Linked DNA regions of Coturnix japonica. The protein of the gene in region 1 purifies or fractionates together with the protein of each later gene. This does not show direct contact. Links are inferred from orthologs where the notes say so. Each region holds a gene or a part of one and is shown on either strand. Other genes may lie near its edges. The genes, in order: PUS10 and ABITRAM.

What was found.
Region 2: the proteins of PUS10 (region 1) and ABITRAM purify together in Homo sapiens (affinity purification with mass spectrometry; 3 studies listed by BioGRID and IntAct, counting the BioPlex papers as one, with this or other methods). This does not show direct contact. The link is inferred for Coturnix japonica from reciprocal best matches to the Homo sapiens genes PUS10 and ABITRAM.

The regions. Positions count from the first base shown.
Region 1 is NC_029518.1:5,441,875-5,450,615, forward strand, and holds the start of PUS10 (putative tRNA pseudouridine synthase Pus10), read left to right. Parts: upstream 1-4,158; 5' UTR 4,159-4,247; coding exon 4,248-4,373; intron 4,374-5,875; coding exon 5,876-6,157; intron 6,158-7,762; coding exon 7,763-7,849; intron 7,850-8,741. Other genes in the region: PEX13 (peroxisome biogenesis factor 13), read right to left, coding at 73-368, 943-1,068, 1,501-2,198, 3,932-4,005. UniProt on the Homo sapiens protein: Protein with different functions depending on its subcellular location: involved in miRNA processing in the nucleus and acts as a tRNA pseudouridylate synthase in the cytoplasm.
Region 2 is NC_029517.1:79,738,879-79,747,476, reverse strand, and holds ABITRAM (protein Abitram), read left to right. Parts: upstream 1-2,975; 5' UTR 2,976-3,005; coding exon 3,006-3,063; intron 3,064-3,138; coding exon 3,139-3,190; intron 3,191-3,380; coding exon 3,381-3,510; intron 3,511-4,583; coding exon 4,584-4,660; intron 4,661-4,749; coding exon 4,750-4,819; intron 4,820-4,887; coding exon 4,888-5,022; 3' UTR 5,023-5,187; downstream 5,188-8,598. Other genes in the region: CTNNAL1 (alpha-catulin), read right to left, coding at 6,210-6,371, 6,462-6,545. UniProt on the Homo sapiens protein: Actin-binding protein that regulates actin polymerization, filopodia dynamics and increases the branching of proximal dendrites of developing neurons.

The DNA.
Region 1 (8,741 bases):
AACACAGATTTTAAACATACCCTAAGTTTTATCAATAAAACACCATTCAGTTACTTTGTTGAGGAAAGTGCATTAGAGTTCCTGTTTCTCTCCACTAACTGCAGTGGAATCGGATGCAACAGGAACTTTATTACTTCCTACAAAAACAGAATCAAAAGCAGCTTCCTGTTCCTCTAAAGTCACAGCAGCAGTGGACCCTCTAGCAGACATCCCAGTGAGGGACGGACGTTGCTCTGTAATCCTTTCCAGGTCCGCTGCTTTCCTGCCTCTTCTTTTGCCCAGTATTCTGATATAATTAGCTGGTACAAGTCCTGTTGTTTGACCATCATAACTAGCCAAAAGCCAGCCACGGATTTTGGGTTGTTGGTCTAAAAAAAGAAAATGCAAAAGCATTAAGTTACCAAGCAATTCAAAATATACTGCAGTTGAGGCACAAATACATGAGGAGGCTGAGCACAGCTAATCACACAGAGAAAATAACTCTGTGATAAAAGGGAAACACGAATTATTACACAAGAGAAATGATGAGGATCTGCATTGATGTGATGTTCTGAAGTGTGCTGTGAAGCTGAAAGTGTTGACACCACCATACTGCCATTTCCATAAGGATTTTCACAGTTATATAGCAAATATGAAAAAAGGATAGCCACAAAGGGAACTACAAAGTACTTCCAGAGTAACTTTAGGCTGTGTCATACTTTAGGGAAATTGAACAAAACTATTTAATAAGTTTTATTACAGTGCACGTAATAACAAGTGAAAAAAATATAAATCAGTAGGTATGAAAACTTGGGTCAAAATGTGTTTTGTTTTTGCATTCTTACTTTTTCCCCCTGCTCCTTTTCCCCCTTCCCCCCCCCCGAAAAACACACAATTTCAGAATCAAACTACACAACTTATTTCACATATGATTAGAAAACAAACTGAAAATTGAAAGCTTACCTTTGGGTGCTAATCTTAGAATGTCACCAGCACGGAAGGAAATTTCCTCTTCTGAGAGCGCACTGAAGTCATATTCTGCTCTTCCAACTACATGATCATCTTCTCCACTTGCCCAGTTACTAGAAACTGTTTCCGAAAAGAAATTAAGAATTTACTTGCTTTGAATTTAATAGATGAGATTTTTGGTTTGTCTGTTTTTGGTTTTTAAACCAAAGAGAAGACACCTTAATTTCTTTGCTTCTCTAACAGAGAACTGATGGGACTAACAAAGACAACATTTGGTGAGTCAACCAATAGCTTTTCCTTCTTCTCCACCTGCCACATTTAATAGAAAGGAATCACAAATTTGGAGTCATATAAAGTGTACCATGAAACTGAATCTCAGATCAACACTAAGCTATTTATACTTGTACCACATGCTTAAAATTCAGTGTTGTACCCCAGAATCTACACACTTCCATTACCCAAGTCTAGGTTTAATCTCTATACACGTGATAACTAAATGAACAATATACTCTATACTTTTCATGATTCTCTCATGCTGCAGATCATCTTTACCTGATTCTTCATCACTGTATGTAGAAAGGAGTTTCCAAATCAGATAGGGACCTCCCATAATAACAGCAAAGAACAAAAAAATAGGCCAGGATTTTGCCGAGTTAGCTGCCTTGTCTTCAAGACCAACACGAGCTACTGTCCCCTGACTTTCAGCCCACAGATCCTCATTCTCAGAGCTCTTCCGCAGACCCAGTAATCGTTGTAGACGCTGGTAGAGATATCTTATAGTTCTCACTAAAGCAAATGCTGAAAACACCTTTGTGAAGTGTACTTTGAGGCGGGAGAAGTGATTGGCTACATCCAACACAGCTCTGAAACTGTTGTACACAGCTGAAAAGGTAGCATCCATCATCATGCTGACTGAGGCAAACGCATGCACAATACTTTCAATGGACTGAAATGCACCTCTGCTGCTCTCTTCAGCCTGTTGAACAAACCTGCTGGGAGGAATATCATCTGTACGAAAGCGGTTATAGCCCAAGCCACCATATCCATAACTGTAAGGGCTGTAGCTTCCATAAAAAGAAGTTCCATATGAACCATAGCCTGTAGTAAAAGAACTGCTATATGCTGGCCTTAAAGTACTGAGACTACTGCTTCCTGTTTGCTGTGATGGTCTCGGCAAAATAGGTGGAGGTATTCGTGCAACTGTGGGTTGTCCAGGTCTGGTCAGCAAGTTGTCACCCAAGTCAGGAGACCTAAACAGATTCAGACAACCAAGATCAGTACTCAAAATGTGGTTATGTTTTCATTTTCTCCAGCATTATTCAATAGCTATCAATATGACCCTGCGCTTTGCTAGTGCCAGGTTGTGGAATCTGGTTACCAAACATTCATACTGTCGCACAGTGTTAGTGAGAATTAAAAATTTCTGTCAAGAAATACAAATCTTTCATTAAAAAAAAAAAGAAATGTTCAATGCAAATGTAGAATTGCAGCATATCTGAAACATATAAGAGCTGTTTTTCTTGTACAGACCAAAAGCACAAAATGCTAAGGCTAGACCCATCCAATCTGATGCTGATTCAACTCCTAAGTCATTCGCCTGTGCAAAAGGGCATCTCATACACACTACCAAGAATATTTTGCAATTTGAAAGCTTTAATTCCAACATTTGTTCTTGTTTCTTCTAGATAATGAGCCAATGGTACAGCAAGAAGGAAGCTAGACAGCTCCTCTGAAGTCACCCTTGGAGAACCGACTGGTGGGACCTAACAAAATTCAAATGATAACAGCACACACAACAGCCTAGGGCTCCCTGCTTCCCCCTACTGAACTGGGACTGAATCTAAGACTGTTAACAGCTGGCAGAAAGAGCTACTATGAGCTCATTTACTTTTTTAAAAAAAATAATAATAAATTTCTAGCTCTTGGCATGCCTGTAAGTTTCAGCCGGTTTACCTACATCCTTTGTAATAGGTCTGTGCAAGTACTTGGCATCTGAATTCTATCAAGTAGCTGTCCATCTTCTGCTGTTTTCCATACTGAAGCAATCTGCTGTACCACTTACACATGCGATAGGGAACAACTTTCCCCACAGCAAAACTTACAGGTTTACCTAAAGCGAAGTATAATATTTACATCTTTACACTGTTTGTTTCTTCCAGCCTAGACTGTCACAGTTAAAAGCAGAAGTAAAAATAAGGTACTACCACAGAAGTTGGGGGCACCCTCCCACAAACCAGATTAGGACAACTCAATTTTTAGATACCTGGAGTAAATTAAAATGAACTAGATAACCTCACCAAGAAAACTTAACATCAAACCTCCTGCTCAGCAAGCTTCAGCCTGCAGTGAAAGCATAGTTCTTCCTGAAAGTTCAGTTTGGAGGTAACCTTTTGCCCAGTTTCAGCTCACCCTAATTGCAATCAACAGCACCAAGTGGAAAACAAGACTCATCTTCAGCCATCATCTTTCCTTGGCTTCTGATTAAAATTCATTTGACAACTCTTTCTGCACAGCATCCTTCCCAGTGAAGTACACTCTGTCTTCTGCAGGAGCAGAGCCTCAGGTCAACAAATACACATTCATCTTTTCCACTGCCAGGATCAACCACACACAGCCCCACTCCCACGGGGAGCACATACTCCGTGGCTCTGCAACCCTCACGTACGAACGACAGCGTTTTTTCCACTTGTGGCAACACACCCAGCCCTGCTAACACGTCAACCTCCACCTCGTTAAACCCTCGACTTTCCGTAGACTGGCTCTGAGCCCACAGAACCCGCTGACGAAGATCCACAGGAGGTTCCCCCCACTCTTCTATACACCTCCCCAAGAAGCGGAGTGAACCCGCGCACAACCCGCCCCTCAGCTCCCAGGCCCGGCCAAGGCGCCGCGCCGACGGGCTAGGCCCGACCTTTGAGCCCGGCCGCCCGCAGGGCCGACCCCGCGGTGCGCGGAGAGGCCCGTGCGAGGGGCACACACTCACTGGAAGGCGGGCGCCACGCTGCCCACTAACCGCCGGTTCTCCCAGGGCTTGGGAGGCGGCGGCTGCGAAGCCATCCCCGCCTCGCTGCAGCCCCGTTCGAGCCCCGGCCCGCTCCGGCCCGCCGCGCTCCTCCGCCCGCCCCCGGCAGGCGGGACGCCGCAGCGCCGAGCGATCGAGCCGGCGGCCTTCCGGGCACCGCGCTACGTGCTCCGCCCTGCGCTCTATCGACGCGCTCCGCCCCGCGCCGCGCTGGGTTTGATGCTCCTGTGCTCAGTGCGGCCTATATTTAGTACTGTGATTATTAGTGTTGTCCAGCATGTCTTCTCTAACAGAAAAGGACAGGCCGATTGTTCAGCTGTTACTGGGTGCTGGCACATGCCCACGATGTATTTTCAGGTTCTGCCGTGTGGGATCACAGACGCTTTATAGGCATCCATACAAGGTTTGTTCTTTGTATTTCTGATTAGAACATGTGGCCGTATGAATGCAGTATCGTGCTGTACACTACTTGGAGGAGAAGGATGTTGTTTGTATTCTTGGACATTGCCTGTTGGGAAAGCTCTGTGCAAGTGTGAGAAATTACAGTAGTGCTGTGGTATAAGAATTCCCGTCAGTTTGGTGTTAGGTTCGTTAAGTTGCTGTGTATTCCCAGGAAAACTCTGTAAACAGGACAGAGCAACTTCTGCACAGCTCTATCACTCAAGCAGTGTATCCCCGACAGTTCCCTCCTTCGTTTTTCCTTTAACACAGTAAGTCACAAAGGGGCTGTGGGTCACGGCAGCTGATTGGGGGCTTTCTCTTCTTGCCTCAAATTCCTTCCGTCTTCCAGCAGCATTGGCTGAGGGATGTAGCTGAAGAATGGCGCAGTTGATGCTCCGCTGTCATTCCAGCAGTGTTATTAGGCACCCTATTTAGCTGACCTTCCCGCTGAAATTCAGCATTCTGAATTGTTTTCCCAGTTGTGCACCGTCAGCCTTCCTGTGTCTTTGTATTATGTGCTTCTCAAATTGTTTTTGGCTACTTGCTCCTTCACCACGTTGATTCATAGAGTTCTCATTATGTAGGCCTATTATTTCCGTGTATCTGCCCTAATGATGTCTTTATGCTTGTGTGTTACGGTGTTTGCCTTGATTATTTCACTTTCACTCAAGTTTAGACTCTCCAGAATTCTTCTTTCACGTCTTTCTTCCTAATCCTGTTTCATTTTTAATCAATCTGTTGAGAAGTGTTTGTTCTGTGTGCCATTTATCATGCTTTTGCAGCTCTATCCAATTTTCATCTGAGTTGCGACAGTAAATGCTGTTATTGAAGATGTCTTAATAAATCCTTATTTTTTTTTCTGACCCAAGTGTTACCTCTACCTTTCATCCTTCCTAAATTTCAGATATATGGTTAATTCTCTCTCCTCACCAGCACATTCATTAATATTCATAAGCTTCTCATTACATGAATGAATGAGACGTACTTTGTCGTGTGTTTAATTTCACTATTGCATTTATCTGCTCTAATTTTCTTCTCATACTGTGGTAGCCAGCTGTCTTCGTTGTGTGGGCTGTCAGTGTTGGAGGATTAAATTCTTAGGTAAGAAATGGCAAAAAGGCAGTAGACACATATTTTCCTTGAACAGTGACAAGGCTGAAGATAAATGCATTTCTGCAAGTTGGTCTTTAAAATGTTTCCAGTGTTCTTGGAAAGTAAAGAAGTCTGTTAAGCAAAAAAAGTTTTGTTGGGGTGGTAACGTTTTGACAGAAGTACAGATTGGAGCTTTTGTTTTTTATTGTGCGAGTGTCTTTTTGGTATCTTTACAAGTTGCTAATTACATACACAAAGACTAAAGCTACAGGTGGTTTCTTCTGCTTTTTAAACCTGTGTTTGTAAGTGCTTTTTACAGCACTGAATTCGAGAGGAAAAGTCAACAAAGTAAAATCCCACTGTTTGTGTTAGGATTTGATGAAGGATTTGAAACAATTCCTGAACGGTAATCAAGAAAAAGAAGATACAACTTGCTTTGATGTAGCTGATCCACCTTGTAAGCGATTCAGACTTGGACATGCAGAAGGAGGGCCTGAAGATCTGAACCAGAATGGAGCGCTCAGTCAGATTTCTTTGGTTAATGATGATAATGCTGCTGTGCAGAACTCAGCTGCGGAGAACTCAGCTGCAGAAGTTTGCAATGTCTGTTTGGGAATTCTTCAGGAGTTCTGCGAGGCTGACTTTGTTAAAAAGGTAAATAATCTTAATCTACAAGTATATTTTTTAGGAGCTTTTGTATGTTAGGGCCTGCAGTATAGATCTGGTGATTTAGAAACACTGTACAGTTAAACAATTGACAGAGAGAGCAAATCAAACCGAAACATTTTCTTGTGTTGAATATTTGAGTTGTAGATGGTGCCATTCAGCTACATACAGCTCACTGACACAGTATTTGCGTACCTGTTTTGCAGCTGGGAAATAAAATGCGTGACCATGTTTTGTCCAAGGTTTGTTATAATGTAACTTTGAAAGAAAGGTATAGGTGCAGTGGAATAACAGGAATGTATTTTTGTAATCAGGTTAATGAAACTTCACTATAAACCAATCTCTCTCCTCTTTTAGCTGTGTAAGGGCAATATGAGGAGTCATCAAATGCTGTGCTGTTTAGTTTAACTGTCTGTTTCTAACACAGGAGTGTTTCTTTACTATATAGCACTATTTAGAAACCCACAAAGGAAAAATGTATTTGGTGGTACAGCATTGCAGATAATGAAGAAAAAAGGAGTTAAGAGAGAGTATGAACATAATGCGTGTTGCAGATGTCATCTCTGAGCAATACAGTTGCTTATGTGACAAACCAAAATATTAGCTAAAAATTCCAATTGCATTTGAGATGTTTGACAGAGCTTTAATAGAAACAAATTTGGTTTAACAACATTAATAACTAGGGCTAAGAGAGCATACTACATAGATTCTGTTGAACTATTGGATGCTTCTTTCTTTTTTGTCTCCGTTGAGAGAGTACATATACTTTTCATTGAACCTACTTTTAAGACTTGTTTCAGAGTTACACTCTTTTGTGACAGTGGAAAATCTTACAACTTGCTCTTGTGCACAGGCACATTTATTAAGGCACCACAACATCTGATTCTCTTACAAGGAAATTTCCTTATCAAAGATGTGGATTTCATCCTGAAAGCTCAAAATTAGTCTTTGTTCCTTCTAGTAGAGACATCTAGCCATCAGCTTTCACTAGTTTACTTTAAGACATTTGATGCATGTTTGGGTTCTTGCTATCATTCCAGTGACTAACATGATTCTTATATCAAAGTAAAGTAGACGTTTAGATGATGTCCCTGCTTATTTGTAATAGCTGTATACTTATCCTGAGAAAATTCTATCATAAACTGAAAGATGAAATGTCCCATTGTCTTTGAATTATTACTGTGAATAGCTTTTTGTTCCTGTATTATGACAGGAACTTAAAAAGTTTTTATTGTCATAGAATTGTGTCTGTGCCATGAAGAAAAATATTCTGAGTCAGCTCTTCCAGCATGTGGTCTCTGTGGTGTAATTTCCTGCATCAACATTTGTGTATATGATTTTAGCCTTAAAAGAACGAGCTTTCTTATTTCATAATGTCACACACCAAATAAGAATAGAGGTCATTAGTAAGAACTTTTTACAGGCTTGTATTTCAATAAGTTGTTAGGAGTTAGTCAAGAACGTATGTTTGGCATTTGTCTGAATGTGTACTAATATAGATTTACAGTGATTATGATAGAATAAAGAATATCCTAAAAAATTATCAACTTGGTTCCATTGTTGTAGTTCAATATTAATACTCTTATTTTCCAGATGTGTGAAAAGGTTAATTCTTCTGACTACCAGTTCACCAGTTTTGTATTTTCTCTGTCACTACCACCACAGCTGTCTGTTAGGGAGGTAAGTTTTTGCAGATATTCCTTCATAAATTGAACGTTTATTAAGGAAGGTAACTGTGGAAGGTACAGACTAGAGACAGTCTGATTTTTAATTGCTATTATTCAAAACAAACAAACAAAAAAACCTCAAAACTTGCTACAAGTGTAGTCTGCTCTCCCTTTCCTTTTTGCTAAGTACTGTTATAATTAATAAGGTGTCTGAGTCACTTCAGTTTTCATTTAGCCTCGGAGTTATTTTACATCTGAAAAAGTAAAAGAGGATCTTTTCAGAGAAGGAACAGCACAGCTGGTACCATTCCTGAAATAAATGATAATTGGTAGTTCAGAGTAGAAATGAAGAAGTTTGAAGATAAGCTCTTTAACTTCGTAGCATTTTGGATGCTGTAAAAATATATATTTTGGTAGTCACCTGTCTTGAGCATTGTTGATAGTCTGTATTTTTATATTTGTTGTAGTCGTAAAACTACTACTTTGATAGCAATTCTTGTCTTAAATTGTTAAGAATTGTTAACTTAAGTTTAAAACTTAAATTGTTTAAATTTTAGCCATTAAATTACATAAGGCAGTGATAGCATAGACACATGTATCCCTGATAGTCTTTTTTTTAAGACTGAGGGAGAATATTAGGTATATTATAACTTTATCAGTAAAGTGACTATTGTGTGATGTTTTACAATGTTACCCTGTTTTCTACAATGAAGTGATTAAAAAATTCTGTTGTTAAAAGCAACTTGTAAGTCTTCAGGTTGTGTGCCTCCTTTTCTAAGACCTAGTAGAATAAACTTGAGTGACTGTGGCAGAAAGTAGTATAGATCCTCTTGGATTTGCAAATAGATCTGTGATGAGGTTTGCTCTCATTCTGTGCAATTTTTAGTGTTCAGTAGTTCTGTTAC
Region 2 (8,598 bases), on another chromosome or scaffold:
TTTTAGAGCACTCATTTCATCTCTAGCTGACAAAATACAGGTGCATCCTTTCCCTGCATCAAGTGCTTTACCTTTTTTTTTCCCCCTTTCCCTTTATTCTACACTCCTGCCTTTTGGTTAACCCTCTGTACTTCCTTCAGAAGCGCACCTCTGAGCAAACAGCAGATGGAGGTTGCCAGAAGGGAGTCCTGCAGTTGGTGGTGCAGAGGAACCACACCGTGGTACAACAGCCATCTGCTATGATTTTGTAGCATCTCCTTGATCTGCCATTCTGTGCTACCTCTGCTCGCTGGTTCTCACAGCAGTCTTAGTCTCATGTTCCCAAGACTGAATTAGAAAAGTAATTTATTATCCCACCTGTTGCTTCCCTTTCTTCCCTGCTTATAAACTGTTAGCTCACTTGAACTTGCTCTGAAGAGAAAGTGACTTCAGTTTCTTTCAAACAATCTAAATTCTTATGGCACTTTTGCTCTTACCTGTGTTAGGACTGTTTCCAAGCTGTCATAGTTAAAGCTGTGCCTACAGCCCCACAGCCGATCTTTCTCTTTTCTTCGCTACCCCAAGTACTTGAATGTCATCATCTTTGACTCGTAGTACTGTAGTAGAGACTGTTCGGTCTCTGGCATGTGCACATCACAGCCACCTTCTTCAGAAAAACAAAACAAGTCCTAAAGAACACTCCCATCCCCTCATACCCTCATGTCAAAGCTGAAGCTTCCATGCCTTGACCAGTTGGTGGTGCCTTCTCTACTGACCTCTAACCCGAGTTGTCCCACTCAGTTCAGATCTTAGAACGTGGCCACTCTTCTTTGTCTGGAAGTCTCTTCTTAGCATTGCCAAATTGCAGTCAGATGTACCTGACTTTGGTTGTGCCCTGTTTAAGCAGGTCTCGCCTTTCCTGTGGTGATGGCACCAGTCGTTAGAGCTGATGTGCCCCAGTTCTGGCTGCTGCATTGCTTCTCATGAGCAAGATGTGTTCCCAGGCAGAACGCTTGGCAAGTCTTCTCTCCCCCTTCCCTCTGAGCCTCTCACAGCCCTGTTACATGCACAAACACTGGAATCTCCTGGTGGGTGCTGTAGGGTTTGGGGGCTCTATTGGTTGTCTTTTGCCTTCTGTCCCTCACCCTCAGCCATCAGAGAAACTGAATGCGCTCAGTGCCTTGGTTGTGAGCTATTTCAGACATGGGTGGCTCCTAACTCAGTTTGCTTTGAATTCTTGTGGTTTCTGTTGGCCTAAGGCCTTAATTGCTGAAGTCAGAAGATGACTTCTCTCATCTGTGTGATAGATGAGAGACAGGAAATGGGCACATGGCTGTATCCCCTATGAGATATTTAGATTGGTGACTAAATAAATCTACAGCTTCTGGTCTGTGCTTCCTGTCAGTTGCTGGCTGGCTTGCAATGAGAGAAACTGACATGAAAATATCTGCATATCAAAATACATTACTAATAGATCAACCTGACGAATAAAACTGCCTGCAGCATGTGTGGGAAGGAGGGTGAGATGAGCTGGCAGTGAGTACTTGGGTGGGCTGGGTGCTCCAGCACATTTGTCTTTGGTGGGCAAAGCACTACGTGAGGAAACCAAAGATGCTTCACAACGTGCTGTTGGTAGCAGCAAGGTGACAAAGCTGGCCCATGTTTTCATTGTCAGCCTTTAGTGGAAGCAAAGGTCCTACTTCTTAAAGGTACTTGCGGTGAAACTTCTCGTGCTTTGATAGAAGGATAGAGCAGAGCCTCTAAGCTGCCTTTTATTTTTATGCATTGATGTTTCTGAGCAGCTTGTGGTAATGTGCCTGCCTGCTGTGGCTGATAAAAGAGAGCACCTTTTTTTGTGTCCTTGTTAACTACAGTACAGAGCTGAGTGTTGAATGCAGCTGTATCCGCCTTATGTAGTGCTTGTGCTGACCCTAGGGCAAACAGAGCAAGGAAGGGTGGACTCTGATTTTCATCGTGCCACATTATTCTTAAGCTTTTGGCTTGTGTGTGTATATAACATCAGTCATGTGCTGTCCTTACTTGCAACAAGAGTTCTACTGCACAGATGCCAGTCCTTGCCTAAGTTCTTGACCTGCCTGGGTCAAGCAGCATGGCTGTTCTGTACTGATGGGAGATATTGTGCAAGAGCACAACGAACTGTATTTGTTTAAAAAGCATTCAAGGCTACAGGGTGTAAATCCAAGTAGCTGCTTCTGCTGCACGAATTCAGAGTCGAGCATAATTACAACTTCTGTGGAAAACTAGTTTGTTCTGGTTGCCACAAATAGAAACCATGTTTTCATGCCATGTGTTCTTACTTGAAATGTGATTTCGGTACGTTTAAACAATGGTTATAGCTGCCCTTGTATTGCTGTGTGCTTGATGGAATAAACCACTGAACAAAGAGCTGTTTCTTGTGTTTACTTGGAACCCCACAGCAGTTTGGGTTGGAAAGACCCACCCCGTGCCATGGGCAGGGCTGCCCCCCACCATCTCAGCTGCCCAGGGCCCCATCCAACCTGGCCTTGAGCACCTGTAGGGATGGGGCACCACAGCTTCTCTGGGCTGTGGTGCCTCACTGCCCTCTGGGGAAAGAATTTCCTCCTACCATCTACTCCAAATATCCCTTATTTCACAGCTATTCCCCCTTCTCCTGTCACTATCACACCACGTAGAAAGTCTATTTCCCTCCTGTTTATAAGCTCCCTTTAAGTAGCAGAAGGCTGCAATGATGTCTCCCCACAGCCTCTGCCCTGAACAAGCTCAGTTCCCTCAGCCTGCCTCCATTGCTTCAGCTCCCTGAGCAGAATCGCGCCCTCCTCCGAACCCGCTCCAGCCTTCTTTTGACGTGCTGGGGGCCTGGACTCAGTACTGCAGACGGGCCCTCACAGCCTCAGCTTTTTCTTCCACTTAGGAAAGAGCTTTTAATTACGCGCGATGGCGCCGTGCCTCTACCACAGGGCGCCGCTCCACAGCCCGGTAGGCAGCGCGGGGCGGGGCCGCGCGTGCGCCTTGCGAGGGGCAACATGGCGGCGTGCGAGGCGTTGGGCGCGGCGCGGTACTTCACGCGCTGGTACAAGGCAGGTGCGGCGCGGCCGGGAGGGCGGGATGGAGCGTGTCCGGGGAGTCACCCTTACCCGTGTTTGTGGGCTCTCGCAGACGTGAAGGGGCGGCCGTGCGAGGATTTCTGCGTGCTGCAGCACTCCAACAGGCGAGTTGGCGGGCGGGGACCCGGCGCCCTCTGGTGGCATCGTGCTCCCCGCCTTCCCCCCCCTCAGCTCTGTGTATCGAACGGCGGTGTGAGGGGGGTGGGGGCGATGCCCGCAGCTGAAGCCTGGTTGTAGGTATTAAAACTCTACTGCACCGCTGCGGCACGGTGACTGTCGTTCTTGTTGTTGCAGGATCTGTGTCATCACGTTGGCAGAAGCCCACCCTCTTCTTCAGCATGGGAAAACAATCACAAGTATTAATTACCAAATCAGTCCCAACTGTAGCAGGCTTCAGAATAAGGTCTCTGGGAAGTCCAAAAGGGTACGTAATGTGTATAGCATGCAGAGGGACTTAAACATCCCTTAATAGATCCCTTAACTTGTTTTCAACCAAATGCTAAGGATTTGAGACTTTTTTTTCTAATCACAGACCCCTGGTCTGTGACAGGATGGGGGGAAATGGCCTCAAGTTGCACCAGAGTAAGTTTAAGTTGGATATCAGGAAACACTTCTTTACAGAAAGGGTTGTTAAGCACTGGAATAGGCTCCCCAGGGAGGTGGTTGAGCCACTATCCCTGGATGAGTTTAAAACCATTTGGATGTGGTACTCATGGACATGACTTAGTAGAGGGTTGTTAGGGTACTTTGGTTGGGTTGTGGTTGGACTTGATGATCTTGAAGGTCTTTTCCAACCTGAGCATTTCTATGATTCTATGTAAGTAAGTATAACCGTGGAACCCATAGTCACAGAATCACAGAATCACAGAATGACCTGGGTTGGAAGGGACCTCAAGGATCATGTAGTTCCAACCCCCCTGCCCAGCAGGGCCACCAAACATACACATTTACTAGATCAGGTTGCCCAGAGCCCCGTCCAACCTGGTCTTAAACACCTCCAAGGACGGGGCATCCACAACCTCCCTGGGCAGCCTGTTCCAGGACCTAACCACTCTCCTAGTAAAGAACTTCCCCCTAACATCCAACCTAAATCTTCCCTCTTTTAACTTAAAACCATTTCCCCGTGTCCTGCTATTGTCAGCCCTTTTGAAGAGTTTACTCCCCTCCTGGGTGTAAGTTCCCTTCAGGTACTGAAAGGCTGCAATGAGGTCACCCCGCAACATTCTCTTCTCCAGGCTGAACAAACCCAACTCCCTCAGCCTGTCCTCATAGGGGAGGTGCTCCAGCCCCCTGATCATCTTCGTGGCCCTCCTCTGGACCCTTTCCAAAATCTCCATATGTTTTTTGTACTGAGGGCTCCACACCTGGAGCTGTAGCTATCACACCTCCTTGCTTTGTTCTGTAACAGCTTGTGATGTTGCTGATGTTTATGAAACTATAAGAAGAGCCGTAATTAACTGTAATTAAGAACATGTATGTATTTTTTTCCCCATTCAGGGAGCTCAGTTTTTAACAGAACTTGCCCCGCTCTGCAGGATCGCTTCATCAGATGGAGAAGAATATACCATTTACAGGTAGGGAATACACCGTTTACAGGTAAAGATTTGCACACCCCCACCCTGACACACTGTGCACTTATTACTGAGTTTGAACACTTCTGCAGTTGCATACGAGGGCGACTGATAGAAGTGAATGAAAACATTCTTAGCAACCCAGCACTTCTGCAAGAAAAGGTGAGAAGCTTTTTAGCTTTTAGCCTTTATTTTACTACTTCAGTGCTAACATTGTTCCTCCATTGTAGCCGTCAACCGAGGGATACATAGCAGTGGTTCTACCCAAATTCGAAGAGAGCAAGAGCGTAACTCAGGGGCTCCTGACACCAGAAGAATACAAGGAGGTTTTATCGAAACGTCAGAATTCTTCTTCAGGAAGTTAATGATACAGGCAGCAGCTATGTTTGATGCTAAATAAGCTGCTTGTACCCAGCAGCTTTCATTGCATTGAAAGGGCTGCATTTATAAAAGTGGAACTTCACGTATTTGTTTTATTCTTGTATGAAATGGGGAAAAATAGTTTGTATATTAAAATCTGTTTTCTCTCAGTCGTAGTACGACATGTTTTTACATACGCACAGATTGATTTTGGAGAGTGGTTGTGTTCCAGGGACCTCTTTGCTCTTGGCTCAACGCAAACATAATACACAGAGAAAAAGCACAATTGAGCTGTCGGGTAATTTAGCCAAACTAATACAACGTGGGGTTTGACAGCAGTGAATTGAAAACAAAATGCAATAGGAGCCTGCCTATGATGAACAGATAACCTTGAAAGCAAGCATTTCACATCAGGTTACGTTTCCTAGCACCCTGAAGTCAAATAATGCCCTTTTTACAGACGTTTCTCATAATCAGTATTTACTTCAATGTTAAATGCTGTAAAGTCTACATGTAATACTTCAGTGGTTCTACATGCAATTCAAATCCTGCTCAGTACAGTTTAATCATAAAGGAAGCAACAACTGCCATCTACAGACAGAGACAGTGAAGGAGAAAGGCTTTGAGTCAAAAGTGTTAATCGCTTAGAAGTACACTTTGGAAATAGGAATAATGCCAACCAAACTAAGATTCAGCGCCAAGCTCTCGCAAGAGTGTTTTTTCTTAGGACTGAACTTCATTGTAGGTATAACTAACCTTAATTTCAGTGCTTTAGGCCACAGTGTTTCAGTCTACATTCCTGAATGGGCTTTATAAATCCATAGACTGAAATGGGCCAGAGAGGAGTTTACAAACGTCAGCAGTAGTGTTACATAGAGCACAGGGTTCTTTGTGTGAAGGGTCTGTTAGCAGCATCTTTGGGTTGAAACATCCATTAAGACATTCGTAAGCATGAATTACAAAACCAGTATCAATAGGGAGCGTAGGAAATTCACATTATGAAAATACATAATGATTACACTAGTTGGTGCTGTCATCGTTAAGTAACAGGACATCTATTAGATGTGACAAAGGTCAACAGGTTTAATTCAAATTAACCTGGGTTGACTTTCCACAAATGAAAGCAAAACTGAGAAACTTCAGCAAGTGTTATTTTCCCTAATGGAGCTTCTGCAATTTCTAAGTGCTGTAATTACTTGCTCTCTAAAAATGTCATTTTAGCCACGTGATTTTCCAAAGACTTGATACCAAACATCTCCACTCTTCTTTCTGGTGCGTGTGTGTTCATACCGCTTCGTGTTCTGCCTTCTCTCCATGGGGGGGCAGGTTTGAGATAGCCGTTCCCTGCTTTATTCTGTGTACAAAGACGACGTAGTGTAAAAAGCAAGCAAAAATATGCAACAACAAACAAAAAAAACCCAACTTTTAAGTACCAGATACTCACCTTTCTCATTAACTTGCTGCAAACTGGAAGCAGTTGACATAACAGAGTCATCACGTTCCTCGTTTTCTGAATGCATGCATCAACCTATAGAAGGCAATTAAGACAGGCCACTGATTGCCACCGTTAGGCAATGTGAGATGAAAACCTATTTTGAGCTTGAAATGTATACGAAGGACAAGCAAATCCAATCTTTTCTAGTCTGAAGGTTTTGCCCATCCTGTTCAGCTTCCTGCAGTGTTCATAATGTACATCATCCCTTCTCTTAAACAAAGGCAGCGGCTGTGAAGGAGAAGAGAATGATGCACATCCCAGGAGAGGGAGCTAAAAATGATATTAAAGGAGTAAGTGTGTGCCCCGGTGGTGCAGTGGTTAAGGATGCCGCCTTGCAACACTGGGGCCCGGAGTTCGAATCCCCCCTGTGGCGCAAGTGGTAGAAGTGCCTCTCTGCTACACAGAGGCTCGAATCCCGGGGGTTGGACTCGATGATCTCTAAGGTCCCTTCCAACCCGTACGAGACTGTGATACTATGATAAGGTATGTGTCTCAGAAATGAGCCCTCACCGTTGTTATCATGGTAATAGTGCAACTACGTAAAAGCTGACGTATAACAAATAAGTAATAGAATAAATTCTAGGCAGCTTAGGATGGACTCTACCTTTGGAGAAGCAACGTGCATTTTAATAACAGAGTATTAAGGGATTGGAATTTATGTTTATCTAAAGCATCAATTACAAGACAATAGCTAATTATGACAACGGTAGTACAGATTACCTTCATTAATACACTTTGAGCACTGGAGTCTTTTCTTAGCAAGTTACACTTAACTACAGCTCATATTTCTTTAAATAAAGTTCTGTGTGTTACAGTAAAATAAATACCATCTCTCACTGAGCTGAGAATCCCCAGCTGCACCATAACAGATAGTAGGTAAGCTGAAGAAAACATTGGTGTAAGTTCCTTGACATAAGTCTCCAGCAGAAAAAGGTCATGTACAGTAATGGCACCCCACAGACATCTAGGAGCATCGGTATCTTGGGAAACATTTCTAACTCACAACCAAAATCATAGAATCATAGAATTACCCAGGTTGGAAAAGACCTTGAAGATCATCAAGTCCAACCACAGCCTAACCATAGTGCCCTAACTCTAAAAACCCTACACTAAGTCATATCCCTAAGTACCACATCCAAACGGCTCTTAAACACAACCAGGGATGGCGATTCAACCACCTCCCTGGGGAGCCTATTCCAGTACTTAACTACCCTTTCTGTAAAGAAGTTCTTCCTAATATCCAACCTAAACTTGCCCTGGTGCAACTTGAGGCCATTTCCCCTCGTCCTGTCACTTGTCACTAATGAGAAGAGACCTGCCCCACTCTCACTGTAAACTTTGGTAATTTTAGGAACAGAAAGGAACAGATCTGTCCTAAATCCTGTTACACACTGATTGCCCAGCTCACATGATCTCTTAAGGTCCCTTCCAAACCACATCAGACTGTGATACTGTGATACTGTGATAATCTACTGGTAGGGAAAAACATTCATATTAATGATATGTCTGTGGCCAGTGGGCTAATTATGTAATAACAGATATCCATGCTCCCTAAAGAAAATAGTCATGAAGGCCTGAATAGTAATGCTGCTCAAACTATCCACCTGCATACTTCCACGTACGCTGGGTGCCAATTTGTCATATTTTGCCTCTCTTCCAACTCTCAGCATGAATAAAATGGGGTGAGGATAAACTTCCTTCAAGCCCTCCTCTGCTAATGGGAATAAAAGAGTCCAGAAAAGAATTGCAGCAGGGCTGAAGAACATCATTTCCTGACACAGATTTCTGCAGTGAGTGGCTGGGGTTACAGCTACCAGTAAGATGAGAGAAAACATTCTCATTAGGAGGAACAGTCCTTACTGTTCTTCCTCTATACTTTGCCCACTGGCTTCTCAAAAGATGTGAAGAGCAAAACAGTACTTCAACTTGAAGTGAATTCCTCTTCCTCATAAGGAACAGCAACAACAAAGTATTGCATAGCAGAAAAACTTAAATGCTTCCACAACATCATACGATTTTGTACTCCACTTTTACCTCCTTCTGCCAATCCAAGAAGTTCATCTATTTCGTATTTTATCAGGACCAC